Oryzias latipes: one gene and its partners. The protein of the gene in region 1 interacts with the protein of each later gene in a biochemical or structural test. Links are inferred from orthologs where the notes say so. Each region holds a gene or a part of one and is shown in the gene's direction. Other genes may lie near its edges. The genes, in order: retinoic acid receptor alpha-A, nr0b2, nrip1, psmc5, ncoa6, med1 and tada3.

Region 1 (4,365 bases):
TGTGGTGGTGGACAGGAGATGTGAGAAGAGGCTGGTGATCTCCAAAGGACAAACCGTAGGGCTTACGTCCACCGGCCATCTGTCGGCTAGCAAAGCTAATCCTTCGGCGTGGGATGAGGCTCCCTGGAAGCTCCCCCTCCCTCTCTTATCTCCCGCCGCCGCTGCCCATCAAAACATTACCCACTCGGTTACATCAGTCCTGACCTGTGGCGCTCTCATCCACAGCCAGGCTCGCTGCCTGCTTACCCACTTGTTCTTGATTTGCATTAACCCCTTTTTTTTTTATCTTTTTGACACACATGTTTAATCAACAGAACCACTGGGATTAACGCAAATACTTTCTTCTCCTCGGTCGCATGGTATTAAAAATAACTAGATGCTTCTCCGCTGATTTGTTATTGTTGTCGAGTGTCACATGGGTATGTGTTTACAACGCCCCAAACGAGAAAAATAGAAGGAAGCTTTGGAATCATGTTTGGTTTGACATTTGCAGAGAAAATTCCTCTGGTACATGAATTTATTTGTGTTTGTAATCCCAAGGAATCAGAGGAAACTTTTGGATTTAGGAGGACAGATGCATTTATTGGCCTTACACAACCCTGTGATGCAGAACTCTTCCTGCACGCCTCTGTCTGCTGGCCTGGATCGACAATGACTTATTTGAAGCTTTCTGAACTGGGTCACAGTTGTGTGCCAACCACGTGGCTTTTGACCTAAAACCCTTTGAGGCTTTTTAACATCTCAAAAGCATTTTCTTTTTCCTTTAAACCTTATATAGACAAGCTGGTGGGCAACATTATGAGCCTATACGACTGTTGACAGTACAGTAGTTCTTCTGGCAAATGAGCAAGCTCCGCTGGTTTTCTGTAATAAACTGGAATGCTGTTGGCTCGGGGAAGAAGCCACCGCCATTTCCGGCTTCATTTCTAAATGGAATGCGCCATATGTCTCAGATTAAGCCCTTTATGGACTTAACTGCTTGATGGTTTAGTGCTTTTCATCTGCATCGGTGTGTGGTATTGTTGGCTTTTTCCTAATATCAACCCCTATTTCATCCTGAAAAACATGCTGCTTTGTTTTACCTGGATTAAAGGTGTAGCAGCATCCTATAGAGCCGTGCTGTGGTTTGTTTAGCCTCACCGCTGCGTTCTTCTGCCACGCAGGGCTTCTTTCGGAGAAGCATCCAGAAAAACATGGTGTACACTTGTCACCGGGAGAAGAACTGCATCATCAACAAAGTCACCCGCAACCGCTGCCAGTACTGTCGGTTACAGAAGTGCCTGGAAGTCGGCATGTCGAAGGAATGTGAGTAAAGATCCCCGTTGTTCCCACCTACACAGGATCTCATGTTGTTGGGTTTAATCGCAGTAGTTCAGAGTTTGTTCTCCTGCTTGCAGCTTTTAATTAATTTGGTTCAATTTTTGTGTTTTTCAAGGCTTTAAAATTACAGCTGAAAATCAATGCAGTGGAATAATTCTTTATTTGACTGCTGGGTTTATTGGTTCGATTTTTGACCGTAGAAATAAAAGCGGTCAGAGAGGCTCTGTGTCTCAGGAGATCAGATTTTGTTCTTCTTTTTTTAAATACAATCTTTTTGCTGCTCACAATGAGCCTAAATAAACACATTTATTCTTAAAAAGATGTAATAGACCAAAGATTTTTTAAGAAGGGCCTGAGAAGTTTCAATTAAATCTGAGCAAAATAAACTTTTTTGTTTGTTCCGTTGCTAGAATTAGACAAAAGTTAAGTTTTTATGGATTTCTGCCTTAATTCCATAGTTGGCCTTTTCATACAGATTTCATAGATTTAAATAGACTTTTTAACAGAAAAAGAAAGAAGTTAATACTTTTTTTGTTCTTATTTAACCTTTTAGGACCTCAATTTATCTCCTTGTTTCCCTTAATCATGTTGTGTGGGTTACCTAAACTTTGTCATGCTTGTGGTGTTTTAGTTTTAGGCTGCAATAATAAAATAATGAATGATTTGGTTTAGATAATGCACTATGAAAAAAACAATATTTTTTTCTTGTTTTTTAATCATAAATTGAGCCAAATTATACCAAAACTTGACTAATCCAAAAGGTACAACACATTTCATTGACGGGGAGGGAAAAACAATGAAAATATAAAAAGAAAATAAGTAATTTGTGAATTCTGAAGCTTCAATAACTGAAAACCTTTTCCAGTTTTTTTTGTAAGGTCATCAAAAGGCTGAACCTCTTGTTTGTTGGAGTTTATTTTTAAGATTTTCAAAAGAAAAGCAGTATTTTTTTCTTCTTCTTTTACCTAAATTGACAAAAAGAAGCCCTGAACCAGATGATTTGTTTAATGTTTTTTCCAAATACTAAGATTAGAAAATCCACTTTGAGGGTGTATCCATTTTTTCCTGTATTAGAGCTTTAAAATCCGGTTACAATTTTCAAAACAAAAATAACAAAAGTATATTTTATATCTTAATACTATATGCTTGTCATTCATGATGTATTTCTGATGTGACAGTAGTAACTGCAGATTCAAATCTCCACCCACGCTTTGGACAGTGATTTTCTTAAAAAATAAGAAATAAATGAAAGCTCTGGCTTTAATTCAGGTGTGTGTATTCATGGCCAATTGATCTTTTTTTTTCAAGACTGTCCATCGTATTGTCCTGTGAAATCATGAAGCTGCCATTATGTCCGAGATGGATTCCTCATCATTCCTGTGAAAGCTTTTCCTCCCCAGCTCTTCCATCCATCAGCTTCCCACAAATCCTATTTTATTTCAAATGATTAGCTGCAGCATTAGCCCGGTGAGAGTTTTGTCTGCGTTTGGTTGTTTAATCTGCAGGATAAACCGTGTTGGTAGCAGCGAGGGCAGAAGCGATGGAGACGGGCAGCAACAGTCGCCGTGTCTCCAGACTTGGCAGGCCTGGGTGATGAATATGTTCTCACCTGCCGAGAGTGAAAGAGCAGGCGTCTGCTCCCATCATTGCACCCCGGGGGCTGTGTGAACACACACACACGGGCAGTCAGACTTGATGAAGTAATTGGTGGAGGTGTGACCACGGAGAGCTCAAAGGCCAGCAGGGTTTATACCTCACCTGATCACATGACGCGGCGGCGCCCGCAGCCATGAGCTATAAATGCACTGCGTCCTTTCTCCCCACCTGCCTATAAACACATTATGTCTTTGCTACTGATGCCCCCCCCCCCCCTCCATATCCACAGCACTGTTGCTTACAGTTAAAAAAAAGTTATCCTCTGAGCTCCTTACCTTTGAACGGTGCCATTAATCATAGTTAGAAACACCACAGCAGCCAGTTCTTTTACACCCAATTTCACTTGGTGGCAAACAGCACAAAAGGTGGAGTTAGAGTGCCCTCTAGTGGTAGAAAAACTAAACTTTTGAAGAATTTCTTTTTTCGAAGGGACTCCTTTTTTGCTAATCATGTCCGATAAATACACCTCCTGTTTTATAATAAAGCCCTGTTCAGCCCAAACATTTTGTGCAGAGTGGGCAGATTGCTCGACTTTTTGTCACAGCAGTGACTTTGGCCCGCCAAACTGGTCTGGGTCGGTGCCGGAGGCAGCGGAGACGCGAACCATCTGCAGCCTGCAGGGACTCTCCGACAGCACGGGGCACGCGCCCGTCAGAGCGCTCGATTATGCACGCTCACCCGCTCACTGCGGCGTTACGCAGGTTCAAGGTGACAACACGGAGTGGAGTGAATTAAAATGCAAAGAAAGAAAGAAAAAAGATAAACAAGAAAGGAGCTGGGACGGTTCCACATTCAGAGAGCGTGCACCCACACATCCAGAAGGCTGGACCCCCTGCTAGCACGGAGGGACGTCCGGGTGACCTTATGTATGCTGGCAGACAGCTCCAGACAACAGCTCCAGGCTTGCTGCCAGGTGGCAATGCCAAGTAAGACTGCATCAGTGAGAAAGGCGGATTGTTGGGAGCAAGCAGAAAGTAACAAAGAAAGTGCTCATAATGTCAGTTCAGCAGTTACCTGGCAGGGTTTGGTGGAAGCAGGTGACTTCTGATGCCCCGAGTGAAAGGGGACGCAAAACAAGGCATTACAAAAAGAATAGACTTAAGGTCAGATGATGAAATACATTTCGATCAGTCGTGCACTGCAAAAAGCGAATCTTAAGTAAACACTCCTGGTTTCAAGAAAAATAGATATTTTCTGTATTGCAAGAAAAATAATTTTATCTATAAAGTTTTCAGTTTCAAAAACATCTTTGTTAAGAGAACATGTTTTAGTGACTCGAATTCTTTATTAGAGAATAAGAATTCTTGCCCCATCTTCAGACATTTTCTTTCCTTATTTGAATTTTGTTTTCAAATTTTACAATTTTAGTTCTTTTAAATCTATTTCTAG
Region 2 (4,228 bases), on another chromosome or scaffold:
CACTTCATGCTTCCAAGCCTGATTTCTCTTTATTAAAATGTGATTACTAACCTGTGAAAAGTGATTCCTCTCGATCGGTTTATTTTCTTGTCATCATTTTTGCAGTTGATTGTAAAACATTGCGTCCCCATTTGTGATTCTTTGCGTGGCTGTTTGGAGCTCGAGTCTATGCATTCAAGACTGAATGCATAGACTATTCCAAAGTGTATGGAGAAAGGGAGTTCCAGCAGCTTGTTTTCATTTGAGTGAGCTACAGAACAAGTCTCAAACAATATTGCTTTAAAACTTATGTCCAGATTAAAAGCAAATAATTTATCCTAAGGCATTTGAGTTTGAGCCGGGTAAGATTGAAAAAATACAGTGTGTCCCAAGTACCGGGTTTAGAAACACAACCTTAAATGACTCACAGGACACAGCACTTCTATATTTGTCCAAGGTTTGTTGGGCAAGTATTCAACCTATTGACCCAAAGCAACTGTGATTTGAGATTTTGTTGAATTTCATGTCAAGAGTTCGTCATTTTTAACCAGTCTGTTTCTTTTTATTTGTGGAATTTCAAAGGGTTCTTATATCATCCAAAATCAACTTTTTTGAGCTTTAAGTGTATTGTAATTTTCATTCCTCACTGTAAACAACCCCAAAGGGGTATTTTGATCCATTCATGCATTTCTGAGCATTCCTCTAAAAACCTGTGCTCTGAGCACCAGCCCCTCCCAACCCACAACAACGAGTGGGTCCTCACATTGTGACGTCTCAAAGTGAGGAACAGCCCCTTCCAGAGTCTGCGCTGCAGCCCCAACCCCAGGGTAACACACATCCACTTTCTCTAGCTTATTCTGTTTCTATGCACATTCATCTTTGCAAAAGTTCGGATATTGTTTGTTTTCGAGGGAAAAACGCAGACACGCTGCTGTGGCTGACTCTAAGTTGACATCATGAAACGGGCGGACCCACCAGGAGAGAAAGCCGGTGCCTCAGAGATCGAGTCATTCTACTTCCGGGTATGAAATGAATTGTGAAAATAACTCATATTTCATAATAAAAACGTTCTTTAGGGCCAAAAGAATATATATCACATATATGGATATAGTTCACTCTGGAAGGCTCAATAAAAGCATGATGAAGGCCCCTTAAAAATAGTTTAGAGTAGCTTCTTTTTTATTTCTCTTTTAGTTTAAAAGCCAATACGTAGAATTTTCTCAAAATTTTCTCCCATATTGTCTAGTTTTACCACTGACTGAAATGACACTGTACTTTTGAGGATTTAAGTCAGGGGTCAATGCCCTCTTTGTGCCCTGGCCTTGTTCCAGTTTCACAGGTGTGATCTGGCAGGTGTAGTGACACAGTGTGGGTTGGATTACCACTGCAGTCCTTGGTAGCTTGGTACAGCCTGGGTTAATGACACTTGCTGGCAGATAAGGCCCATCCTTTTTGATATGTGTTACTCCAGCAGCTACTTTCATTGAGAAAATCTTATCAGTTTCCCAGGGTTGTTCCAGCAGTCACCTGGCAAAGCGAGCGGTTGTTTTTCACATCGAGTGTATTGACATTTCAAGGTCCACTGAACGGAGGGGGGTTGGCCCTATAAATATAGAAGAGGCAGCAGCACCACTCAGGAGCTCATGAGGAGTCTATCTGTGAGAGGACGCACGCATTCATCACCATTATATGTCATCGGGGGGAAAAAGATGGATAGCAGATGCCATTGCTTAACCAACAATGATAGGGTTTTGAATCCCATCCTCTACAACATCCTGAGCCAAATGGACAGCAGCATGCAGAGCCAAGACTGCCTCAACTACATCTCAGTGCCTCACAGGTGCAACTGCGAGGTGCGCCGGACACTGTGCTTAAAAAGTCCAAGTGAGATCTGCAAAGAAGCCTCAGCAGTTCTGGTTAAAACCGTCCACTTCATTAAGAGCCTGCCTGCGTTCAACCAGCTGCCACTGAGTGATCAGTTTGCGCTGTTGAGAAGCTGCTGGGCTCCCCTCTTTATTCTGGGGCTGGCTCAAGAACATGTGGACTTTGAGGTTACAGATGCCCCCGCTGACAGCATGCTGAAAAAGATTCTTCTGAACCGCCAGGAGAGCCCCGAGGCTAAAAGGGAGCAGCCCACCATGGCAGGCGTCAGCAAACTCAAGTCTTGCCTCAAAAAGTTTTGGAGTTTGGATTTAAGCCCAAAGGAGTATGCATACCTGAAGGGAACCACGATATTCAATCCAGGTACGAAGGTGCTGGATTCAGTAAAAGGATGAAGTATGTGTGTGTGCGTTAACTGACTTTACTCGTTTTCCTCGTCCACAGACGTTCCGGAATTAAAGGCTGGATTGTTTGTGGAGGGCTTGCAGCAGGAAGCTCAGCACGCCCTGAGGGAGGTGGTGCAGCTCCTTCACCCGGGTCGCGAGGAGCGCTTCGCTCGAATCCTGCTCACAGCTTCCATGCTGCAGGGCATCACACCCACCCTCGTCACCGAGCTCTTCTTCCGGCCCGTCATAGGCCAGGCTGACCTGCTGGAGCTGCTGGTCGACATGCTCTTTTACAGATAAGAACAGTGGACCTCAGCTGAGGGACTTTAAACCACATGACACCCAGGCTGGGAAAGGAATGTTGGACGGCTGCTGTGAAGCAGATTATAAAACCCCACAAAAAAAATGTAGATTTGATGAACAAGCCACCATGATTGCTCACATTCACGCAAAGCTGAGGTCACTTTATCTCTGTGTCAACAGATTTCCTTCCCCTAAGTAGAAGGATTTTCACACAGTGGCAGACTTGTCTCTTTCTATTAGAATATTTGATTTTGTCAATCTTTTCTGTTATTTCATTGTTGTAAATATGTGTCTTTTGCTTTTACAGGAAACTTCAAATAAATATATTTTTGTACACAAATGACAAATTACAGCCTCACGCTCTTGACTCACACCAAGCCAATGCCACTGTCACACTTAATCTGACAAATTCAGCTGTTAAACGCATATTATTGAGTCAAGATGTTGCTAAACTCAGATTGACAAATTTCTTAGTTGCAGTTGGATCTTGTTGGTGAACGTGGATATTTATCCACAAGAGCTCTTTCTTTTTCAAAAATGATGACAGGAATGTGTCACAGAATAATATTTCTTGTTCATTCCGAAGCTTTGTCTCCCTCTATTGGAAAACACATCCACAAGCAAATAAAAAGAAAGATCCTCGATCCCATTTCAACCTTATTTTACAATCTTATGATACGCTGAGAAGAAAAGGGTAAATCCAAGCCAACAAAGCAGTATTGTCTTAACAATCTTCATGCAAAAATCCCCACAGAAGCTGTTCACATTCATCCATTCTGTGGTATGATGGTTGTGAAACAGTCTCTCTTTACTTGACACCATATACAGGTAAAACAGGAATGCTGATGGTGGGGGCAGTGAGCCAGGGGAAATGGGGTAACACAGCACAAACAAAACATTTAAAAAAAAAAAAAAAAAAAGAGCTGGTGGTGGAAAATCTCCACTTTTTTCCTGCGTTTCCATCTTTTTAATTGAAGTCTTATCCCTTCAAGACTGTGTGAGAGGGATTGCCTTTTATAGTAGTTTCTCAAGCTGAACTACAACTGTTTATTCTGTTCCAGCAATTATAAAACAGACCCTGAGCAAATACATGTAGCAGCATTTTGCATTATACTTTCACTGATAAATATTTGTTTGGCCAAACAGATTTAGGACGGGTTCTCGGAAGATCGTTTTCTGCACCATTTCTTCCTTTGCAATAAAAGACTAAAGTAAATGCCAGGATTTTATTTCCTTTCTGTAAGAACCAGTCCAACAAGTTCTTCTCATCGCTGAGGGCTGAAGAAGCCTGCCTGCTGCAACACTGACCTCAGGGAGACTGACAATTAGGAGGAACACTAGGGTAAAGACTAAACCTGAAAAAACATTTTTGTAGAGGGACATATCATTTTTAATGAAACATAGACCTTGTTTTTTCAGAAAAAAACCATTGAAAGGCTTTGCAACAACTAAATTATGTGTGTGAGTCACAGTCAGAGGCTAAAAAACATCAAACTTCTTTTATTAAAAAACCCGTCTGAATAAAAAGCCATAAAGGTCCATCGATTTTTATTTTATTAAAAACACAACTTGTTAAATATTTTTAAAAAATGAGGCATAATGGCACAAAGTAACAGTTACCTAAAAATGTTTACATCCAAATATGACTTATAACAATACAGAAATGGATTCCTGGAGCC
Region 3 (4,365 bases), on another chromosome or scaffold:
AGATAGAAAAGTGTGAAAATGTTGATGCCTGTCTGAGAAAAGTGGAGAAAGTGTGTAGTGAGGAGTTTCACTGCTTTGAAACATCTCTAATTATTGCTGACTACATCACTTATTTCACCTATCATGGGTTATTTTTTAAATGTAACTCCCGCAATAAATGGGGGATCACTATGCACCATAGAACTGATTATTATTGGATTTTTTTATTTATTCAATTGTAAAGGTGACCATATAAGCATAAACATAAATCAGAATTGAGCTTATTTCTCTGAGATTTCTGCCTGCCAGTAAACCTTTCATGGCTTGTATCCATGTTTACCTGATTTATTTCTTAGTATTACATCTGTGCGTGTATAAGCCCTTGTAGTAGACTTACCAGTTGCCACATTAGAAATGCTAACTCTTTAGTCTTTGGTTCCATCATGTTTACCGAGAACGGACTTGCAAATGTTTTAAAAGTAACAGGAAGTTTGAAACGTACATATAGCTTTCCTCTGAAGTAATTCAGATACAGGAGTTGAACATGTTGACTAGGATTCTGTGATGATAATTATCTGATTTTTGTTGGGATATAAACAGGCTCAGGATATGTCCAGTTGGCATATGAACACCTTCCTCAGAAAGACCCAGAACAAATAAATTGAAGTAAAAAAAATCGAAATAATTTTAAAGTTAAGACAAAGAAAAATAATCCGAGCTGGATAAAGAGTTGGTGAAAGCAGATCACTCAGGACTGACCCATCAGAGTCATATTTTCTCTGACCTCTGGTTCTACAGTGAATCCCAGACTGTGGCTGAAAGTACGCTGACCTTTCCTGTTTGAAGTGTCTTTTAAGTGACTGTGAGTGAAACAGAAAGGTAGAACTGGATGAGAAATCAAGCAGTCAGGGGAGAGTGAAGCCTACTCCCCCATTATCACCACCTCAGCCCCCCTCCTGCGTGTGCACAGCTGACCGTAGGGGTAAAAATCACTTTTGAATGGTGCCTGCTCTGTCATTGGCTGACATTGTCAAGGATAATGGATAATCACCACTGAACAGCTCATGGGTGCTGTGGTTTTCACAGCATGGGGAGGGAGTGGAGGTCAGCCTTTTTGGGGACCACCAACAATGAGACTACATGTTAACTTTGCTTCTTATACCTAAGGAATAAATACAGTTGGTTTTTGCGAAAACGAAATGTTTCAAAAGCGTATTAATGTCACAGATGTGTTGTGTATGCACTGATGCAGTGTCGGGATCCCTTCTCTGCCCTGCTAGCTCTTTATAGAAGTGTCTTTGGGCAAAAACACAGACAAGGTCAACTGTAATTCCAAGGGTTCACTGCCAGCAGCAGGGAGATTAACAGAATTCCCCGTGTTGAAACTGTGTCAGCGTTTCTTTTCCGTTCCCAATTTCCTCTCACTGACTAGAGGGCTCTATCGCAGCATATTATTCATTTAGCAAGGCATGCTGAAGGTAAACATGTTTACCGCTCTGATCAAACACGGTCACACAAGGCCATTCTGTTGTGACTGTGTTAAGGTCAATGACGGGAAAACGGTCCTAATCCGTAGCATTTAAGATTAGCATGACAACAGACGTCAGATGGCCCACAGTGACCAGGTTGGCCTTTGTTATTTTCAGATTTAGGTCAGCTGTTTAAAGATGGCCTTAAACTGATATTGATGCTTATGGGCCAATCTTTGACTCTTTTACTGGTGTAGAATGTAAGTTTAAAAGCCTAATCTCTTTGTGAACTGTTGGTTGCAGCCGGTTTTAAAATGGCTAACCTGTTTGTTTTTCTTCTGCTGCTCAGACTTAATTATGCCCTAATCAACTTAAATCCAGCACCTAATCCTAGTTCATTTCCAATGTGGCATTTTAAAGTGGAAGCCAGTTTGTCTCACTGTCATGGCCTGATACGGTCAGTATCGGGCCAGCATTAGAAAAGAATTTCCGACTGAATAGGAGTTCTGTGCCTCATTGTTTCTAGTCTTTTCTCAGCTGTCTATGAATGGTGTTAGAGTAGGTTGCTGTGGTCTCAGGTCATAATAAATGGGTTCTGTCCTGTCACGTGACCAACTATGTCGGCCCATGGAGCGGACTCTAAAGGTGAGGGCATAAGGGACACAGACAGCAGCCGAGGCGAGGTGGAAACTCTGTATTAATTAACCTTTATGAGATGCGACCGGGACTGTCAGAAGTGTCCTGTATCCACGGAAACCACTCTGACAGAGTTCATAGCAGAGGTCTTTTAGGGCAGCGTCACTGACACTGTCATGGCAACTGGCACAGGGCTCACCCCCATGTCACCAGCTCTGCCCTCCTGACAGTGGACGGGTGTGACAGGCGCAGCCGATTATCTACACAAACACAAACACACTCATTCACTTAACATTTAAGTCTAACTTGTCTGTCATTACCGTGCTGTGTTCCCCTCTGATCATCACAGTTTCAGGTTAAAATGGTTCAAAGGTGTGAAGGGGATGTTAAAGGGGAGCTTCTTAAGGACACCAATACATGCATCACCTATATTGAAGCATAAACAATCACAAAATCCTGATTGTGCACAAGTAGGTGGGCGGACCCCAGCTCAAGTGCATAAGAAGCAGGAGGCGGTGGAGAGGGATAATCGTCTGAATTATGAGGCGCAGAATGAAATATTCAGAGCTTTAAGACCCCTCACATGTGAAAGATACTGCAGGGAGATGCTCAGATCTCAGTACTTGTATGGTTTGAAGGTAGTGGGCTTGAATTTTCAGTACAAATTTAATCAAGCCTCATCTGCATTTATTGTCAGTTAGGTGATTGTGAGGGTGCAGTGAGGAGAAGGAGGGGGAGGAGCCTTGTGCAGTTACTCTGAAATGTTGCTAAGTAACAGAGATGGCATGAATGATGGTGGAATAAATGTTGTACAGTCCTGTACAAAGTCCTGCTCCTGACACGGTTTCTCCTCTTTCTCCCCTCTTTTCCCTTCCTGTCATATTTCCCTTGCCCTCCTCTCTTCCTCTCACTCCTGTAGGTCTGACTGGTGAGATCTTCAAAGCCTGAAGACAGCACCACAGCCAAGCAGACAGACGGAAAGTATCTACAACCTCAGGATGTGTCAGCGCCTCCGTGAAATCCCGCTGATTCCCAGTTTTCTACTGACATGAACCAGAAGCTCTGCCTTTTTTAATCCTGCGATGCTTTGGAGGCTCACCTGTCCCTCACTGCCTCTAGGCATGGATCCGGTTTCATGAAGCTGCTGATTGTGACCACCACCAAGGCATTCAGCCACCACATTCTTCCCCCCATCTGGATACACATTTGGTGCAACTTCACATCCTCTTTTTCCGATTAAAGTAGTACATTCAACTGCCAATCTGATGACTGAGATGACATTAATTTCCCAGTAGCATTGCTAAGCTATACCAGGGGATCTGAGTGTTGAACATGACTCATGGGGAGGAGCCTGGCCCTGAGACACACAAGGATTCAGCTGTTCTAACTTATCTGGAAGGTTTACTGATGCATCCAGTGGTGGCCGGGCCTGGGGCCACGGCAGGTGGGAGGTCTGAGGCTGCTCACAGCAATCAGGAGCAGGGCGACAAGAGGGGTGGAACCTTCCAGCTACCTAGCCATGGTCCCACTACGCCAAAGGCTGGCACCAATGGGCCCACGCTAGGCTCTTCACAACATCTGAAGAAAGCTCGTTTGCTGCGCTCTGGAGCTTGGAATGATCCAGGGAACCAAAGGATTAATTCGCCTCAAATAGAGCTGAATGGCCAAGTGGGGGGGCTACCAAATGGAGCTCTAGATGGATCTCCTCATGCTGGTGAAAGCACCCTGTTGGCTTCTCTGTTGCAGTCATTTAGTTCACGGCTTCAGAGTGTTGCAATGTCCCAGCATGCTAATAAGCCTGCTAGTGAGTGTCCCTCTTCACCCAAGCCACCACCATCAGACAAAGAGCCACTACCTGTTTATGGGACTGCATCAAGCCGCTTGAAGGGTCTGATGAGAAAGAATAAACTTCAGAACCACAACAATACCCCGTACAGTCGTCGGGGCCATAATCAGGAAAGGAACACAGAGTCCCCTCGGTCAACACACAGCGCCACACCTCCTGCCACTCCCACAGCTACTGAATCGGTGTCCTGCGCAGACCGTTTGAAGGCAGTGGCAAACATGGTGAAAATCCGTTCCAGCCCAGTACCGTCCCCCAAGCCGAGTGTTGCCTGCAGTCAACTGGCCTTGTTGCTTTCCAGTGAAGCCCATCTCCAGCAGTACTCTAGAGAACATGCACTCAAAGCCCAACTCTCAGGGAGATCTGCCAGTGAGAGACTAGCTGCCATGGCAAACCAGCAGCAAGGTCAGGACAAGAGGCCTCCCAGCTTAGGAGGGT
Region 4 (4,267 bases), about 2.5 Mb from region 1:
TCAGCCTCATTTATCTTGTTGTCTTGTAAAGTAGGGTGTTATCAAAGGGAAAATCTTCAGAACAAACATCATATCTGAAATAAAATGAACCCCGGCGGCACTTTTCCAGTTTTTCCGTCTCCCTTTTGTCTATTTAAACGTAGGTGGGGACCTTCCTCGGTGCAGGAAGCATCTGTTTGCTCTTCATCGCCACACTGAGCCGGTTGAAGTAATGTCTGCCTTGTAATGTAAAAACCTTTTTTTTAATGGTACACAAATGTTTAAGCACTGGTTCTTGCCATCCTGTGGTCCTTCACGGGTGTTTTTTTTTTTTTTTTTACTTTCTAAAAGCCATAATTATTCAATGCACCTGTATTTGAATATTTAGCCATACTTTAAATACACTTGCTTCAGAAATGTCTTTTGTTTAAAAAAAAAATGTTCAAAAATATTTTTATGCAAATAATAATTCTGCAATATTTGTCTTTATGTGTGTTGGGGCTGGGTTTGTTATAAAAATCAAACCTTTTCTGTGTCGGGCCAAGATTGTCCAACAAAAAATAGGTATATTTTATAATGGACAACTCTTTGTTTTTGTATTTTCTGAAAGTTTACATTCTGTTATTGATTTTTGGTGTGAATGATTTTAATTACAAAAATCATAAACTATGTCTAGTGTTGTAAATTGAAGCCTCAGATCTTTGACTGGTGTTGACGGTAAAATAGGAATTCAGCTTTATGTGGTGGTCATCAAACAAACTGTTGTGGAAATTCTCTTCCTAAAACTAAAAATTCTAAAAATTCCATGCTCATATGCCAAATGTGCTTTGTGAAATGACACAGCACAACTGTTGTGCAGATATTTTTTTTTGTACAGCTTCTGTGTTTAATGTTTGCATTTTTTTTCAGCTGAAAGTCTTTTATACATTTGACGTATTTTTTACAATAAATTACTTACAAATGCTTCTTTCACTGTTTTTTGGTTAATCATACCTGGTATAAAGGGTGTGTATTTTAACTATCAATTACAAGGCTGCCTTCACTGATGTGGGTTTGTAACTTTAATACGTTAATTTGCAGTTTTCTGCTGTAATTGGATAGCTGCTTTTGAGCCTGTGCGTGTCTGGGCTGGCTGCAGAGCTGGGGTGCTTCTGCAGGCTTACAACAGGTAAGACTGGTTTTAGTAGAAGAAACCCATACATCCCACTCCCTTCCCAGAGCTGCACCTCAGTTAGCTACAGTTGGAAATGTGACACCAGTTCAAAACAAAAACATGACATACAACTAAACAGTTAGTCACTGTTTTTATCTCTAAACTTTTAAAATGTGTGTATATTTGATATTTTTTTTCTATGCTCTAATCTTTTACTGTTATATGGAATAATGCAATAATTAAAGTAGATAAATGTTGTTTTTTGATAGTTTTGTTCTTTCTTGTTTGAATAATTTAAATTGTATTTTTTTAAGAGCGTCATAACAAAACAAAACAAAAACTATCTTAATTGTTGCGCCGCGTTGAAACGCTAGGGGGCAGTGTTATATTGCAAGTGCACTCATGATTGAAGAGGCTGGCCGGATGTGGCAGCTGCTCTGAAGCGGATGCTGAAATTTCAAGATGGAGTTGGAAGGCATCGATCAGGTTGGGTTGCTTTTTTGCTGGTTCATTTTGTTTTTTAAATTGCAGTCCTATTAAAGAGGCTTAAGTGCTGTGCTTTGAAGCCTGCTTCTCCTTTAAGTTGTCGTTGATCTGAAAATATGGTCTATAATGGTTTTAAAAAACAAATTAGTTTTTAACAAAGCTCTGAACCTGCTGCCTGCAGTTGTGTGCTGCCGGTTTGCTGTCTCATTGTAGCTTACTTACAAGCTAAAAAGCGCAGTCAAGTAAACATTCAGCTATTCCTGGTATTATAGGTTTTTCTAACTTACAGTCGTGTATTTGAAGCTTAAAATTCAAAAGTATATGCATTTATATAATATTTTATTTGTTTAAAAAATACAACAACGAACGTTTCCTTTGCTTTGGTCTTGTTTGCTAATACTAGCTAATGTTAGCTTCCGAAGCTAAAGTTAGCTTCCGGTAATATTTTTGTTTTTCGACCTTATTTTGGATCTTTAGCCATACAGACTGTCATGAAAGTCATTAGTTCTCAATGCATCAATGGACAATGCATCGAATAAGTAATTTTAATTTAAAAAAATCTTATTTAAACACGCCAAGTACTTAAGCTAATGGTAATTTTGTTGTTTCTAGTACTTGCTTTACACAATTTCCCCCCCAAAAAATGTTCTCCTTTTATGAGGAAATTTGGCACTCCACGTGGCATGTACCACTTCATAATGTAGTTATTATACTAGTAAAAAATAACTAAATATGATATCACTAACACTAAAAGGCGAACATTTAATTACTTATGTCTGTCATAAAGCTGTTAAATTTCACAGGAAATATTATTCTAGATGGGTTATAATGTTTGATTTTCTTTTCGAAACAGATGGAAATGGGAGACAATAAAGGGGGATCAGGGCTCAGACAGTACTACTTGTCCAAAATTGAGGAGTTGCAGGTAAGAAAATATTTATGAGCTTTTTGCAGATATTTTGGGTCAAAGATTAGGCGTAGAATGCTCTAAGAATCCTCATTATTTTTATTTTATGATAGTTGACAGTGAATGAAAAGAGCCAGAACCTTAGACGTCTGCAAGCACAGAGGAATGAGCTCAATGCCAAAGGTTTGCAGTTTTAGAATTTCTACATTTAGTTTTATCTTGTGTTGAAATATCAGCAATAGTAGATTTGTTAAAAGAGGGTTAATTGTTTGGAGTTGCTCCTCTTTCACAGTGCGTCTCCTGCGTGAGGAGCTGCAGTTACTGCAGGAGCAGGGATCATATGTGGGAGAGGTTGTCCGGGTCATGGACAAAAAGAAAGTGTTGGTCAAGGTGAGCTGTGTTTGCTCTCTATGCAGAAGCTACATTTGAACCGATTGGTTGCTGTTTTAAAAATAACGTTTTCACAAACCCAGGTCCACCCAGAAGGAAAATTTGTCGTGGACGTGGACAAAAACATCGACATCAATGACGTAAGTTTTTGGATTTTTTTGATACTCTTGGTGCAAAACTGCATTTAAAAAAAAATGTGGCTGTTTCTGCACCAGGTGACCCCAAATTGCCGTGTGGCTCTGCGAAATGACAGCTACACCCTTCACAAGATCCTGCCTAACAAAGTGGACCCTCTGGTTTCTCTCATGATGGTGGAGAAGGTGCCAGATTCCACTTATGAAATGATTGGCGGTCTGGACAAACAGATCAAGGAGATTAAAGAAGTTATTGAACTGCCTGTCAAGCATCCAGAGCTGTTTGAAGCTCTGGGAATTGCTCAGCCCAAGGTGGGTGAAATGTATGAGTGTTAAAGTGTAAAAGCTACTAATATATATTCAGACTTTGTGGTCTAAAACCAAACGTCATTTCCAAATAGATCAGCTGTAGACAGAGGCTCACAGGTTCTTTTGTGATGCTTCCTGTTGGCAGGGCGTGTTGCTGTATGGACCTCCAGGCACAGGAAAGACCCTTCTGGCCAGAGCCGTAGCCCATCACACTGACTGTACTTTCATCAGAGTGTCTGGCTCTGAATTGGTCCAGAAATTCATTGGAGAGGGTAAGAGGTCCTCTATCTCTCTGATTCCTAAACTGGATTCATGTCAGGCCTTTAATTGGATTCTCTCCTGTTTTGATTCCAAAAACCGTGTTTCTGTGTCTCGCCTCAGGCGCTCGGATGGTGCGTGAGTTGTTTGTCATGGCTAGAGAGCACGCTCCCTCCATCATCTTCATGGATGAGATCGACTCCATCGGCTCCTCTCGTCTGGAGGGCGGCTCGGGTGGAGACAGCGAGGTGCAGAGAACAATGTTGGAGCTGCTGAATCAGCTAGATGGTTTTGAAGCTACAAAGAACATAAAGGTACCATACATGTCACAGACATACATGTCCTCTGTCCTCTTTACTGTTTTTAACGTGAACTAAAGTCCCCACAAAACTTAACAAAGGCTGTCATGTTCAGGGGTTTTTTCCAGAAAGCAGGTTATGCTAGCTCCCACGGTAAGTTTGAGGCTAAGGAAGTTGATAACCTCAGCTTTCGGTTCCAGAAATGGAGGTATGTTTCAGGATATGTCTAGTTGCCATAGTAACTCATGCTCTGAACATAACCTGGTTTGGAGCAGGTTTAGTTGAAGCTTAGTTTGTTTTCAGAGAGGTGAAGCAGCATGGCGTGTCCATTTGAAGATGATTTAGTGGATGA
Region 5 (3,220 bases), on another chromosome or scaffold:
TCTGAGATGTTGGCAGGACCGTTGGCGCAGAGCATTCCCCTCACTATTTTCTGTTTCACAAATTAGCTCTTTTTTAATGCAGATTTTTATGTCTGCCACTGCTTTACAGTGATTGAAATAAAGACACACAGAAGTACAATTTTAATCTTATTATTCTTTATATATGTCCTCATCAGAAAATTGCCACAAGAATTTTAAAAACACCAAAAAGCAAGTTTTTTCATCTGAAAGGGTCTTTTAAATTAATTTTAAAGCCTCGCAGTGAATGATTTTTGATTTTTATTACTGTTACAAATTAATGTTAGCACAACTTCAACAGTGTAAACACAGAAACCAGATAACCAAGTGCTTTATTTATGTAACTGTTTGATAGCACCTTGTATGGCTTCAATTTAGTGGAGTCAGTTGTCTGGTTAGGGAAACGCTTTGAGTTATGTTTATACTTGACTCTCAGTGTTATGTTGATGTCTAACAAGAAGGTAAGGTAGCTGTTACTTCAGAATCTAAGTAACAAAATACATTCAGCACCATAATAATGTTTAACCTTCCATTCACAAAAGATTCGGTTGGAGTAATATTTAAGCAAAGCTGTATTAACCATACATATCATATTTTCTGTTAATGTTGCTTCTTATTGTTTTGCACCTCTATAGAAGGAATTAGGTTTGTTTTGACATCCCCAATATGTCCTTTTCAAAAATTATTTGTGTGGATTTTATGTCAAAAAGAAGAAATACTGCTTTCTTTTTAGGAATATGATTTCTCTGTTTTTTAAACTGTTGCTTGTTTTTAATAGTGGATGCCATAAAATGAGACATTTTGTTTACAGTCATTTTACTTTTCTGTACTCACTTTTTATGTTCTTCCTCGTTTGCTGCATGGAACAATAAATCAAAGTACACTGTAAACCCTCTGAGGAAGAAGAGTCAACATTGCATTCCTTAAAAAAATACAATAAAAAATGGGATTGTTTATACTTACTGAGATTATTAGATCCACTAGTGTTGATCTTGAAAAAGCTGTTTTATTCTTAACAAAAATGCTTTTTTTTTTAAAACTCAGGGAGTTTATTTGGTTAAGCATGGGGTTTGTGTTAAACAAAGGCCTCAGCATTTGGTGTGTATGTTCGCCGGGCAGTTACATGAATATACAATGTATGACTGAAGGAAAAGCTCATGATTAAATTAATTTGGTCGTTACCATGACCTCTGAGAATACATCTCATTTCCTGGGATTGAAATAATATATGGTGGGGAAGTGAAGCTTTGCTTGTTCAGCGCTGTTGATAGTTTACAGCTGCATTTCCACTTCTATCACAGATGGGCAAAGAAAAGAAAGACGCCCATCAACTTAGTCCCAAGGTATGTATTTGAATGTGTTAGTGCTTCAAAGACACAAGCAGTGACTATGTCAACGTAGTGGATGCTGTCAGGATGAAGACGGACGGCATCTGTGGTAGATGAGGAAAACAGCACAGTCCTAATTGGTATTAGTTTGCTCTGACTAGAGCAGTAGTGTAACACCCTGGCTTGTTTGTAACACACCTGTACCTTGTCTTTCTTTTTCCTGTTCGTTGTTGTTTTTATATCCGTTTCTCTCAGAGCTGCAGTGGAAAAGCCCAAGGGACCAAGTAGGCGCAGCTCCCGAGCTGAGAAAGAGGTGGATGAGGAGCCAGTAGCAGACAGCAGCAGCAGGAAGAGATCAGCAAGGCCTCAAACCAGCTCCGCCGCAAAAGGTAGAAACATTCATCTGAATTTGAAAGATATTATCTCTTCCTACATACAGAAGTTTTTTGTTTTTATTACAGAAACTGCAGCAAGCCCCACTCAAGCCAAGCGAAGGAAGTCTAAATAGATCCAACTGCAGTTGTGATTAGCTGTGAACTGTAAAGTAACTTTTTTTCTCTGTCTGCTGTGAAGCAGGTGGTTTTGTTGCTCGGATTATGAAATTTTACTGGAGGAAAAAAGAAAACAACCATGTACATTTTGTTTCAATATTAATTGTTCATGCTATCCTGTGAGATTGTAGCTAGTGTGTGCATACAGTTTGTGTGAATGTGCTTTTATATGAAATGCTGGATTGATTTCAAAGACTGATTATAAAACTTGTTATGACTGTGTAATTATGTTGTAAAATGGAAATACATTTTCTACTGCTTTCGTTCTGTGAAACTGTGTCGACTTTTGTGTTCAAAGTTATTCATTTTGCCCTTTATTTTGACTCCTTGCTCCAAATTATTATTTACTAATAACACTAGAAGCTGAAAAGAATATTAGAAAGTATTTAGACTCGCCAAACTAAACAGGTTTTACTAAAATGTGATTTGAAAAGACAGAGGTGTCATGGATGTGTTTATGCTGTCTGGGATGATGTGCGCGCGGAGCATGCGCAGTGGGTAAATGTAGGGACTCCATTTTTTTTGTGCTGTCAGTGAAGGCTCCCAGGCAGCCTCCTCTTTCCAATACTGTAGCATCCTGAACATCCGTCAACAATTTAACCTGCATTCCAAACAAAACCAGCTCGGACATGAGTGGAGATCATGGACATCGAGACTCCCAGGTAGTTGTTTTCCCCGTTTGGAGAGTTCGCATTCATTCTTTTTTGCAAGAACTAAAACAACACTAGAAATAACCGTTAGAATAAGAAGAATGGCAGAAAATCTGTCCGGTAACGTTAGAAGTTCAGCTGTTGTAGTGATGGGTTTCAAAACAATGCATCAATTTAATTTTTTTTAATTTTTAAGAATAAATACGCATTTATAATAAGTAGTTTTGTGACCATTGGAACTTAAAACAATCGAAGTACCGGCATTCTCAAAGTTCGCACACTCAAAACATTTTTCTCTTGTAAATTTCAGGTCAACTGTGGAGCCAATGGAAGCGGTAGGTCGTTTAATCATGCATTTTAATATTTGTTATTGTATTAGTATACCTGTCTACTGTTTAGTTTTAAAGGACAGAAATGGCGTCCCAGAGACTAAGTCCCTTCTCCTCCACTCTTGCGGCTATTGTTCAAAAACAGGGTCTAGAATGGGGTCTTCCCCTCCTCAGTTTTTGAAGCAAACGTTGCCTCCAGACAGAGCCCGGTTTGAGGTTCATTTTGCACCATTTCGTTCGCTTGCATTCACATGCAATATATAGATTTTTGGGTCCGAAAGTGGCCGAATTGGGGATGGGGACTTAGTCTCTGCGCCATTTTCTTTTTGCTGTGAGTAGCATCC
Region 6 (4,365 bases), about 5.2 Mb from region 1:
GGTGGACTACATCCTATGTAGACGAGGTCATTTGAGAGAGGTTAATGACTGCAAAGTGGTGGTAGGAGAGAGTGTAGCCAAACAGCACCGCATGGTGGTGTGTAAGATGACTCTGGAGGTCAGGAAGAAGAAGAGAGGGAAAACAGAAAAGAAGACCAAGTGGTGGAAGCTACAGAATGAAGAAACTTGTGAGGAATTTAGGCAGAAGTTGAGGCAGGTCCTGGGTGGTCAGGATGAGCTTCCAGAGGACTGGGAAACTACAGCAGAGATTATCAGGGAAACAGGTAGGAAGGTGCTAGGTGTGTCATCTGGAAAGAGGAAAGACGGTAAAGAGACTTGGTGGTGGAATGAGGAAGTACAGGAATGCGTCCAGAGGAAGAGGTTGGCTAAAAGGAAGTGGGATGTAGAAAGGACTGAGGAAGGTAGACAGGAGTACAAGGAAGCGCAGCGTAAAGTGAAGAGAGAGGTGGCAAAGGCCAAACAGAAAGCTTACGATGAGCTATATGACAGGTTAGACACAAAGGAAGGAGAGAAGGACTTGTACAGGCTGGCCAGACAGAGAGACAGAGATGGGAAGGACGTGCAACAGATAAGGGTGATTAAGGACAGAGATGGAAAGGTGCTAACAACCCAAGAGAGTGTACAGAAAAGATGGAAGGAGTATTTTGAGGAGCTGATGAACGAGGAAAATGACAGGGAAAGAAGGGAGGAAGATGTGGTTGTTGTGGAGCAGGAAGTAGCAGAGATTGGAAAGGATGAGGTTAGGAAGGCTCTGAAAAGGATGAAGAGCGGAAAGGCCGTTGGTCCTGATGACGTACCTGTGGAGGTATGGAAGTGCCTAGGAGAGACAGCAGTGGAATTTCTAACAAGGTTGTTCAATAGGATTTTAGAGAGTGAGAAGATGCCTGAGGAATGGAGGAGAAGCGTTCTGGTCCCAATCTTTAAGAACAAGGGTGACACGCAGAACTGCAGCAACTATAGAGGAATAAAGTTGATGAGCCACACAATGAAGCTGTGGGAAAGAGTAGTGGAAGCCAGGCTTAGGAAGAAGGTGGAGATTTGTGAGCAGCAGTATGGTTTCATGCCCCGTAAGAGCACCACTGATGCCATTTTTGCTTTGAGAATGTTGATGGAAAAGTACAGAGAAGGTCAGAAGGAGCTGCATTGTGTGTTCGTAGATTTAGAGAAGGCGTATGACAGGGTGCCGAGGGAGGAGCTGTGGTACTGTATGAGGTCGTCTGGAGTGGCAGAGAAATATGTTAGAGTAGTTCAGGACATGTATGAGAGAAGTATGACGGTGGTGAGATGTGCTGTAGGTCAGACAGAGGAGTTCAAGGTGGAGGTGGGACTACACCAAGGATCAGCTTTGAGTCCTTTTTTGTTTGCTATGCTGATGGACAGGCTGACAGACGAGGTAAGACAGGAATCTCCCTGGACAATGATGTTTGCGGATGACATTGTAATTTGCAGTGAGAGTAGAGAGCAGGTGGAGGAACAGCTAGAGAGGTGGAGGTTTGCTCTGGAAAGAAGAGGTATGAAGGTCAGTCGTAGTAAGACAGAATACATGTGTCTGAACGAGAGGGATCAAGGTAGAAGTGTTAGGTTACAGGGGGCTGAGGTGAAGAAGGTGCAGGAGTTTAAGTACTTGGGGTCAACAGTTCAGTGTGATGGGGATTGTGGAAAAGAGGTGAAGAGGCGAGTGCAGGCAGGTTGGAGCGGTTGGAGGAAAGTGTCAGGAGTGTTGTGTGACAGAAGAGTGCCAGCAAGACTCAAAGGAAAGGTGTACAAGACAGTGGTGAGACCAGCTCTGCTCTATGGGTTAGAGACGGTAGCAGTGAGACAGAGACAAGAGGCTGAGATGGAGGTAGCGGAGATGAAGATGTTGAGGTTCTCCTTAGGAGTGACCAGGTTAGACAGGATAAGGAACGAGTACATCAGAGGGACGGCTCATGTTGCCTGTGTTAGCGACAAAGTCAGAGAAGCCAGACTGAGATGGTTTGGACATGTTCAGAGGAGGGATAGTGGATATATTGGTAGAAGGATGTTGGAGATGGAGCTGCCTGGCAGGAGGGCAAGAGGACGGCCAAAGAGGAGATACATGGATGTCTTAACAGAGGACATGAAGTTGGCTAATGTTAGGGTAGAAGATGTCCATGATAGAGTGAGGTGGAAAAGGATGATTCGCTGTGGCGACCCCTGATGGGAAAAGCCGAAAGAGAAAGAAGAAGAAGAGTATATTTGTAAGAAATTAGGTTATCTAGTAAGAAAACGAAAACACCATTATGATCCTCATAGTTAGTAGTAGAAAAAATCACGTACCTCTCTCAGGAGCGCCGAATATGTTGAAACTGACTTTATGTCCAGTAGGAAGAAAAATAGTCGTCATTTCCGTTGTGCTGAGGAGGTTAATATTGATATGCTGCGGCTAATGCCGTCGCGCTGTGGTTAATGCCGTTGTGCTTCGGGTAATGCCGTTGTGCTTCGGGGAATGCCGTTGTGCTTCGGGTAATGCCGTTGTGCTTCGGGTAATGCCGTTGTGCTTCGGGGAATGCCGTTGTGCTTCGGGTAATGCCGTTGTGCTTCGGGTAATGCCGTTGTGCTTCGGGTAATGCCGTTGTGCTTCGGGGAACGCCGTTGTGCTTCGGGTAATGTCGTTGCGTTGTCTTTTTTGTATGTAGTGTGAGCTCTGTCGGCCACCGTAGGTTTATATTATTAAAGCTTTTCACAAATGCTCATAGTTTCTTTGGTTACATAAAGAACAGACGCTTTAAATATTTCTCCCTTAGAAAGCAACGTGTCATTTTAAAATGTCATTACTTTTAGCTGAGCCTAAACAAAACAAACTGCTGACCTAAGATTTCAGTAGATGCTCTTCTTTGTATGTAAATATACTGACATTTTTTAGAGGTGATAAATTGGGAAATTACTTTTGACTATTTTTTAGTTGCATTCTACAGCAATAAAATATTTGTTATAACTAAGGGTTTAAGCCTTTGTTTAAAGAAGGTATATAGTGATACTACCTGACTATTAACTGCCTAAAAAAATACAACTCAACCTTTTTATGAAAGTAATCAGGTTATGTTGTCCTTTATAAGATATATAATCAAAGTTTTGTATTTTTTAATCTGTTTTTTTTTTTAGGAAAAAAATAAATCCAATGTGTAAAGGAAAAACAGGTCAGTCATTATAGGCTTAACTGTATTCTGTTTCTGTCTTTTAGAGGCAGAAAAGCAGAGTCGAACGGTTGCTCTGTTAGAGAGACTTCATGCTAAACACAATGCTTCCCGACCATGGCAGGAAACATGCAAAGTTGTGCGTCAGGCTATGGTAAGACAGATATTCTATTATTTTCCAATTTTCCCACAATATTATACATACTATAAAAATATTTCTAGATTACTGCACATGCTCAGAGTGCAGTAAAAGTTCATTTACAGCCTGTTAGTGTTCTTAGTTAAGTATGTAATAACAAGCACAAAACAGCTTAAAGAAGTTATTTCTTTACTGACCTCCCTTGGTGACATTTAAATGTCAGACCAAGAGTGCTGGCTACGCAAATTAAAAGCAAGCCCGATTTGGTTGTATAAAGCATAATCATTAATTTCAACATTTTATTCTTTTTTTTCCTCTCCTTACTCGTGTTGTGCCTCAGGAGAAACGCGGTGTGATGAATGCGGCAGGTCACCAGCTCCTGCTTAACTGTTTGGAGACCCTGCAGAGAGCACTAAAAGGTGAGGGTCCCGTCCCACAGTGCAAAAAGAAAAAGAATGAATAGCTAACGTCGCAATTCTTTCATAATGATTGTTTTGTCTCTTAATCGGTAAAGCCGTGAAGGCTTCAGACAATTACTTTTTCACTTCAGCTTTATATTTTCCTCCAATTATTTAACTTACGGGTGAAAGTAAATACAAAACATACGCAAACTGTTGTGTGTGCAAAACATGTCAATATTGTAAAAATTACTTGTTATTAGATTACGTAGAAGAAACACATGATATATATATATTTTTTTTTTCAGTGTCATCTCTGTCTTCAATGACGGATCGCCTGGAATCTATTGCACGACAAAACATGTAACTTCATAAATTTCTTTTGGCCACTTAATATATTATTGTGTATATATATACAGTATATCAGATGACTTATACATTCATAAGGCACTTTTAGAAACCTGACACAATCTATACATAAAACTTCTTTCTTTTCCCCCTGTTTTCCTCTTTGCACAGGTTGGGCTCTCATCTGAGTCCTACAGGGACAGAGTGCTACATCACTTCTGATATGTTTTATGTGGAGGTGCAGCTGGACTCAAACGGTCAGTTGGTGGACGTCAAGGTGGCTCATCAAGGAGAGAACCCTACA
Region 7 (5,067 bases), on another chromosome or scaffold:
TTGAGGAATTCTTCTGCAACAATTCGGGCCCTGGCATTAACGGACAGCTTCATCTCGCTGATCTCCTTGTCAATCTCCTCCATGAAGTGGATGACAAAGTCCACCAGCTTGTGTTTGTACATCTGCTCCGTGTGGAAGTTGGTAATCAAGAAACTAATATCATATCCCTGTGAAAACATTTAAAGATAATTTGTAAAAGATTTTACAATAGAAGAGCATTTTGTTCAGAAAAATGCATTTAAGAACAAATCTTCTAGAATATTTAAGCATTAAATGTCATTCGAAAGGATGGCTGTGAGGACTCCTTCATCCAGGATAATCTGGACTCAGTTTTTTTTTAGGTTGGCGACCCTTTATCCAGGAAACCTTCTCAGTATCTTCAACTTAAAAAACGGAGCCCAGATGACCATTTAAAACGGTTTTGTCTTTTTCAAAGCAATAATCCGTTCCTCATTTCCTCAACAATGACTCTGTTGTCTGTTTTAAGCACAACTGAACTGATTTATCCCCCACCTCCACTGGCTTCCTTCTCAGAATGAAGAAGTTCTCCGCTCTCATCATCATGAAGCGCATGAACTTGTGGCAAAGGATCTTCTCGATCTCATCAGCCTGTGATCACAACACAAGTGTTTTCAAATACTGTTCCTGCAAATCCTGGAAAAAAACGTATTATATTGTAGAGATTTTTTTAAGGACCTGCTTCACAGCAATGCTGACTCTGACAGAGTTGATGGACCCTTCGATGAACACCTTCTCCTTGTCGTTACGACTGATCACCACCGGTTGAAGCAGCAACTCCTTGCTGCTCCTGTAAACACATGGCCATCAGATCCCTTCAGCTTTCAAATCTCCAGCTGCTCTGTCTCACTTTGTTAGGAGGACATCTGCAGGCAAGCTGCAGCTAGCTACATTTGGTGCGTCCATGTCTTTTTTTCCCCTTCCCACAAATATTTTCCAGTACAAGTCCGCACAGGTCCGAACTTGTGTGAAAGCAGCTGACGAACCACAATCGGAAAAGATGCAACAGCAGCAAGCAACAACAACAATATAAAAAAAGAAAGGCTTGCAGTTGCTGATGTGACACATACCTGACCTCCACCTCAGGCTTGTTGTGGCGCTCCACCACCTGAGAGGAGAAATTCTCCAAACAGAGGGCGGCCTGCAGGGTGGCCCTCACAGCATTCAGGTAGGGGCGCAGAGTCGCTGTCTGGAATGAGCAGAAGATCAGTATGTGAAGGAATCCTGCTTTACTGAAACACTAAGGGATCAAGGCTGATATAAGCACCAATTAGAACATTACATTTCCATGCCATTTTTTATCATTTCAACCAAATATTGTGATTAGTAATGAATTAAGCCATTAGCATGTTTCTTTTCTCTAGTTTATTGTAACAGAGGATGGGATTTGGGGAGATTTCTAGAGCAACATTTTAGTAAAAAATGTGATCATCTCTTCTTTTTTTTGTATCTTTTAAAGATTGCCGGGTGACATAACAGACAAAAAAGAGCCTAAATGAAAAAGAGGCTAACAGGAAAAGGCAGCTCACGTCTTCTGTCACTCTAGTCTAGTTTCTGCATACCTACATGAAGGATGCCTGCCCTCCGATAACTAGATCGAACCACTAACACCGGATAAAGATCTAGAAGCTAGCTAGCTTTTCTCACATTAATAATATCCATAGTTGCTTGGAATAAAAAGCTAAATTGTAAAATATAAGCGAAAATATTATGCATCAGACTTACCATTTTGAGCAGTAAAAGACGGAAGTTCCTCTGCCACGCCTGGGACGGCTCTTCCGTAAATCCTGCATAGTAGAGTAACGCTAGGGTGCGTTTGTTTTCTTGTCTTCGTTTGATGAGGTCGACAGTTTCTCGGTGCGCAACTCATCTAGCAGTTTTGCTTTGTGGCTCCACCCATCCAGAAAACACGTTATAAGAAACCGAGCAAACCCAATCGGACTTCAATTTCACTGTACAACGGGGGAGACGTTTTTCTTCAGTGACAATTTAGGCTTGTAATATCTACACATTATTTAATTTTTTGCCTCAATATTAAATTTTTATAGTCATAATTGTACTCGTTTCATATAATAGCATTTAAGTTGAAAACATAGTGGCTATTACTTGACAAATTCAGATTGACCTAATGGTTTCTTCCGACAGTACCATCACAGATGCAGCTTTGGGCGTTTTCTAGATTTCGTAAAATGCATTTACCCATTTTCCATATTTTTTGGCATTATGTCTTTTCTTTATATGTATTATTCTATACAAATGCTGAGACAGCAACTGTGTTCACTTCAAGGTGATATATTAAAAAAAAAGCCTACAAAAAACACCCCCACTTGCACGATGGTATAATCCATCATGGGCACCTTCACTGACGGTAAATATCGTTGATCTTTAAAAATTAATTACGCGTCTGTTCTTGAAGTGTGTGGCGTTAAAAAAACGTTTGTGTTTATATAAGCCATTTCTAAGCAGTTCGCTGTGTAATTAAAAATGTAATTTGGGGGCAATTCTGGCCGGCCGCTGGTTCAGCCCCGCTCGAGTGTGTCGTGTGTGATGCGTACGTATCTATGTGTTGTGTTTTTAATGAATTAATTATGGCCAAACGTGATCAGGATGAACTGTGTGTTCGTTTCAGATGGTCTGTAAATTACCCCGCTGTTCATCATTTTGCGTCAGTTACATCAGACTAACGGCTCCCTGCCAACAATCAACATCATGAGCGAGCTGAAGGACTGTTCCCCGCTGAAATACTACGACTTCAAGCCCGTGGATCATGTCAGGTTGTGTCCCCGTTACACCGCCGTGCTGGGCCGCTCAGAGGACGATGGCATCGGCAGCGGGGAGCTTGATACTCTGCAGCTGGAGCTGGAGACGCTCCTGTCTTCAGCCAGCCGCCGCCTGCGAGCCCTGGAGGAGCAGAGACAGGTAGGTGGACGCTCATCCATTCAGCAGCAGATGGACGCAACATTTGATTTACCGCATCGCTTTCATCCTTCCAGATCCTCACAGATTGGCAAGACAAAAAGGGAGACAAGCGCTTCCTTAAAATGGGAAAAGACCCTGATCCTGCAGCCACATCCCGCCACAAGCCCAAGAAACAAAAACTGGATGGGAAAGGAGCACATGGACAAGGACCTGGTCCCGGAAGGCCCAAATCCAAAAACCTGCAGCCGAAAGTTCAAGAGTATGAATTTACAGATGAACCACAAGATATCCCGTGCACCCCCAAAAATGATGCTCCCAACAGGTCAGCACGAGGCGCTTTTCACACCATACTTATCTTTTTCGGCTTCAACCTTGCTTCACTGTTTAGTTTATTTGTTTTGGTGGATTAAAACCCTTTTTATGTTTAATCTGTTTACTTTTTACTTTTTTTTTTCCAGATTCTGGGCTTCAGTTGAACCGTATTGTGCAGATATTACCAATGAAGAAATACGACTGCTTGAAGAGCTTCTTAAGCCCTTAGAGGACGAGGCTGAGTATTTCAAAGTATGATTTTAAAACTTTTAGTTCACTTAAGGCAGTGGGGCTTCTAGATTCAAAGCGATACACACCTCTCCCTCAAAAGAAACCCTTAAAGTTCTATGTTCTTCCCTAAATACTTCTGTTTCCTAACAGAGTTAGGTAGGACTTCATTTGGTTCTTGGCAAACAAGCCATGTCCGAATTCTGTCAGTATGACCTGAAAACCAGATCGAAAACTTAAAACGTCACCAAATAAAAAAGATAATTAGTTGTGGGTCTGTGTACATTTAAAGACCACTGGGAACGCTGTGAAAATGGATCAAAAGAGGATCAGAGTGACTTTTTTAGATGCAAATTCATCAAACTTCTACTCAACATTTACAAAGTATTCACTTTACTGAACTTAAGACCAATTTACACAAAAACCCTTTTTTCATCACTTCAGTACAAGTTAACCAAAACAACATTGTAGCTAAATGAACTTGGAAATATTTAATGGTCTTAAAAATTGTAGGGTTTTTTATCTAGTCAGACATAAAAACATTTTTGCTCTAATAAGAGCAAGAGAAATATAAGCAAAGCTTGACCCATTAGTTTGTCTTGTTATGAGCCTATTTTTATTCATTGAAGTAATTTATTCCTGTGCATAACTTAATGTTGGGAACTTTTTTCTCTCCACCTTTTTAAATAAGGTAATTGCCTTACTAGCTACTCCTTTTATTATTATTAGACTACATGTAAGAAATGTACCGGTATATATCACAGGAAAACGGTTCTAAAACGAGCTTTAATGATGCGTCTATATAACAACAAGTAAATACATATTATGCAAATACTTTCTTGTGATGTTAAATATAAAATTTTTTTAAATCACTGAATAATTGCTAATCAGTTCTCATCCCTCCTTGGTTCTGAATAATTTTTTAATTCACGTTAAACAACCCTAAAGGTAACGTTTGATGTCACCATTTAACCTCACGACGCCTGAATATTTTTCCAGTGATGAAAAAATAATTCACTTATGTTTTTGCTTTCATGTAGATGCTAAATTAAGATATTTTTTTTTATCATTTAAAAAACCAGACTATGTAAAAGACCTTGTGCAGCCGTACACTCCCAGCTGGTCCCTGAGATCATGTGACCAGGGTCTGCTGGTTGTTAAGAGAACCCGGTTAAAAACTAAAGGTGACAAAGCCTTTGCAGCGGTGGCTCCATCCCTCTTGGAACTCCCTTCCTCTCAGCCTCAGATCTGCAGACTTTGAAAACCAGCTAAAAAACATATCTTTTTTTAAATTAAAAGGTGCTATATAAATAAATAAAAATATTATCAATTTTGGAGCAGAAGTGGTTTGATGCATATTTGCATCAAGGGGTGAAATGACTGAATAGTAATGTGACTTGTTAGACGATTGCCTGCACACAATGTGGAGCAAGAATCAAACAGAGCTTTCTTGGCGTTGATATTAACCTTAGATTCCAGCGCTGGGGAAACACTACTCCCAGAGGTGGGCTCAAGAGGATCTGTTGGAGGAACAGAGGGAAGGCGCACGAGCCAATGACAAGAAGAAAGGCATCATGGGAGGTCCACTGT

The links.
Region 2: the proteins of retinoic acid receptor alpha-A (region 1) and nr0b2 form a complex in vitro, tested with the Homo sapiens proteins (2 studies listed by BioGRID). The link is inferred for Oryzias latipes from reciprocal best matches to the Homo sapiens genes RARA and NR0B2.
Region 3: the proteins of retinoic acid receptor alpha-A (region 1) and nrip1 form a complex in vitro, tested with the Homo sapiens proteins (4 studies listed by BioGRID). The link is inferred for Oryzias latipes from reciprocal best matches to the Homo sapiens genes RARA and NRIP1.
Region 4: the proteins of retinoic acid receptor alpha-A (region 1) and psmc5 form a complex in vitro, tested with the Homo sapiens proteins (2 studies listed by BioGRID). The link is inferred for Oryzias latipes from reciprocal best matches to the Homo sapiens genes RARA and PSMC5.
Region 5: the proteins of retinoic acid receptor alpha-A (region 1) and ncoa6 form a complex in vitro, tested with the Homo sapiens proteins (3 studies listed by BioGRID). The link is inferred for Oryzias latipes from reciprocal best matches to the Homo sapiens genes RARA and NCOA6.
Region 6: the proteins of retinoic acid receptor alpha-A (region 1) and med1 are reported together in a solved structure, tested with the Homo sapiens proteins (2 studies listed by BioGRID, with this or other methods). The link is inferred for Oryzias latipes from reciprocal best matches to the Homo sapiens genes RARA and MED1.
Region 7: the proteins of retinoic acid receptor alpha-A (region 1) and tada3 form a complex in vitro, tested with the Homo sapiens proteins (2 studies listed by BioGRID). The link is inferred for Oryzias latipes from reciprocal best matches to the Homo sapiens genes RARA and TADA3.

What each region holds. Positions count from the first base shown.
Region 1 is NC_019877.2:4,426,609-4,430,973, reverse strand, and holds part of retinoic acid receptor alpha-A, read left to right. Parts: intron 1-1,163; coding exon 1,164-1,305; intron 1,306-4,365. UniProt on the Homo sapiens protein: Receptor for retinoic acid. Retinoic acid receptors bind as heterodimers to their target response elements in response to their ligands, all-trans or 9-cis retinoic acid, and regulate gene expression in various biological processes.
Region 2 is NC_019874.2:9,914,648-9,918,875, forward strand, and holds nr0b2 (nuclear receptor subfamily 0 group B member 2), read left to right. Parts: upstream 1-1,620; 5' UTR 1,621-1,622; coding exon 1,623-2,223; intron 2,224-2,304; coding exon 2,305-2,546; 3' UTR 2,547-3,193; downstream 3,194-4,228. UniProt on the Homo sapiens protein: Transcriptional regulator that acts as a negative regulator of receptor-dependent signaling pathways. Specifically inhibits transactivation of the nuclear receptor with which it interacts.
Region 3 is NC_019872.2:2,653,937-2,658,301, forward strand, and holds part of nrip1 (nuclear receptor-interacting protein 1), read left to right. Parts: intron 1-3,003; 5' UTR 3,004-3,416; coding exon 3,417-4,365. UniProt on the Homo sapiens protein: Modulates transcriptional activation by steroid receptors such as NR3C1, NR3C2 and ESR1. Also modulates transcriptional repression by nuclear hormone receptors.
Region 4 is NC_019877.2:6,907,828-6,912,094, reverse strand, and holds the start of psmc5 (26S proteasome regulatory subunit 8), read left to right. Parts: upstream 1-1,467; 5' UTR 1,468-1,594; coding exon 1,595-1,618; intron 1,619-2,471; coding exon 2,472-2,543; intron 2,544-2,638; coding exon 2,639-2,708; intron 2,709-2,817; coding exon 2,818-2,915; intron 2,916-2,998; coding exon 2,999-3,055; intron 3,056-3,130; coding exon 3,131-3,361; intron 3,362-3,503; coding exon 3,504-3,630; intron 3,631-3,739; coding exon 3,740-3,930; intron 3,931-4,267.
Region 5 is NC_019865.2:14,787,117-14,790,336, forward strand, and holds the end of ncoa6 (nuclear receptor coactivator 6), read left to right. Parts: intron 1-1,319; coding exon 1,320-1,361; intron 1,362-1,601; coding exon 1,602-1,735; intron 1,736-1,807; coding exon 1,808-1,854; 3' UTR 1,855-2,171; downstream 2,172-3,220. Other genes in the region: DNA topoisomerase 1, read left to right, coding at 2,527-2,559, 2,858-2,882. UniProt on the Homo sapiens protein: Nuclear receptor coactivator that directly binds nuclear receptors and stimulates the transcriptional activities in a hormone-dependent fashion. Coactivates expression in an agonist- and AF2-dependent manner.
Region 6 is NC_019877.2:9,656,975-9,661,339, reverse strand, and holds part of med1 (mediator of RNA polymerase II transcription subunit 1), read left to right. Parts: intron 1-2,319; exon of another isoform or gene 2,320-2,488; intron 2,489-3,223; coding exon 3,224-3,330; intron 3,331-3,655; coding exon 3,656-3,734; intron 3,735-4,021; coding exon 4,022-4,076; intron 4,077-4,232; coding exon 4,233-4,365. UniProt on the Homo sapiens protein: Component of the Mediator complex, a coactivator involved in the regulated transcription of nearly all RNA polymerase II-dependent genes.
Region 7 is NC_019863.2:25,385,079-25,390,145, forward strand, and holds the start of tada3 (transcriptional adapter 3), read left to right. Parts: upstream 1-1,971; 5' UTR 1,972-2,386; intron 2,387-2,423; exon of another isoform or gene 2,424-2,569; intron 2,570-2,647; 5' UTR 2,648-2,727; coding exon 2,728-2,937; intron 2,938-3,011; coding exon 3,012-3,259; intron 3,260-3,395; coding exon 3,396-3,501; intron 3,502-4,949; coding exon 4,950-5,067. Other genes in the region: actin-related protein 2/3 complex subunit 4, read right to left, coding at 1-167, 514-609, 697-808, 1,089-1,207, 1,744-1,746. UniProt on the Homo sapiens protein: Functions as a component of the PCAF complex. The PCAF complex is capable of efficiently acetylating histones in a nucleosomal context. The PCAF complex could be considered as the human version of the yeast SAGA complex.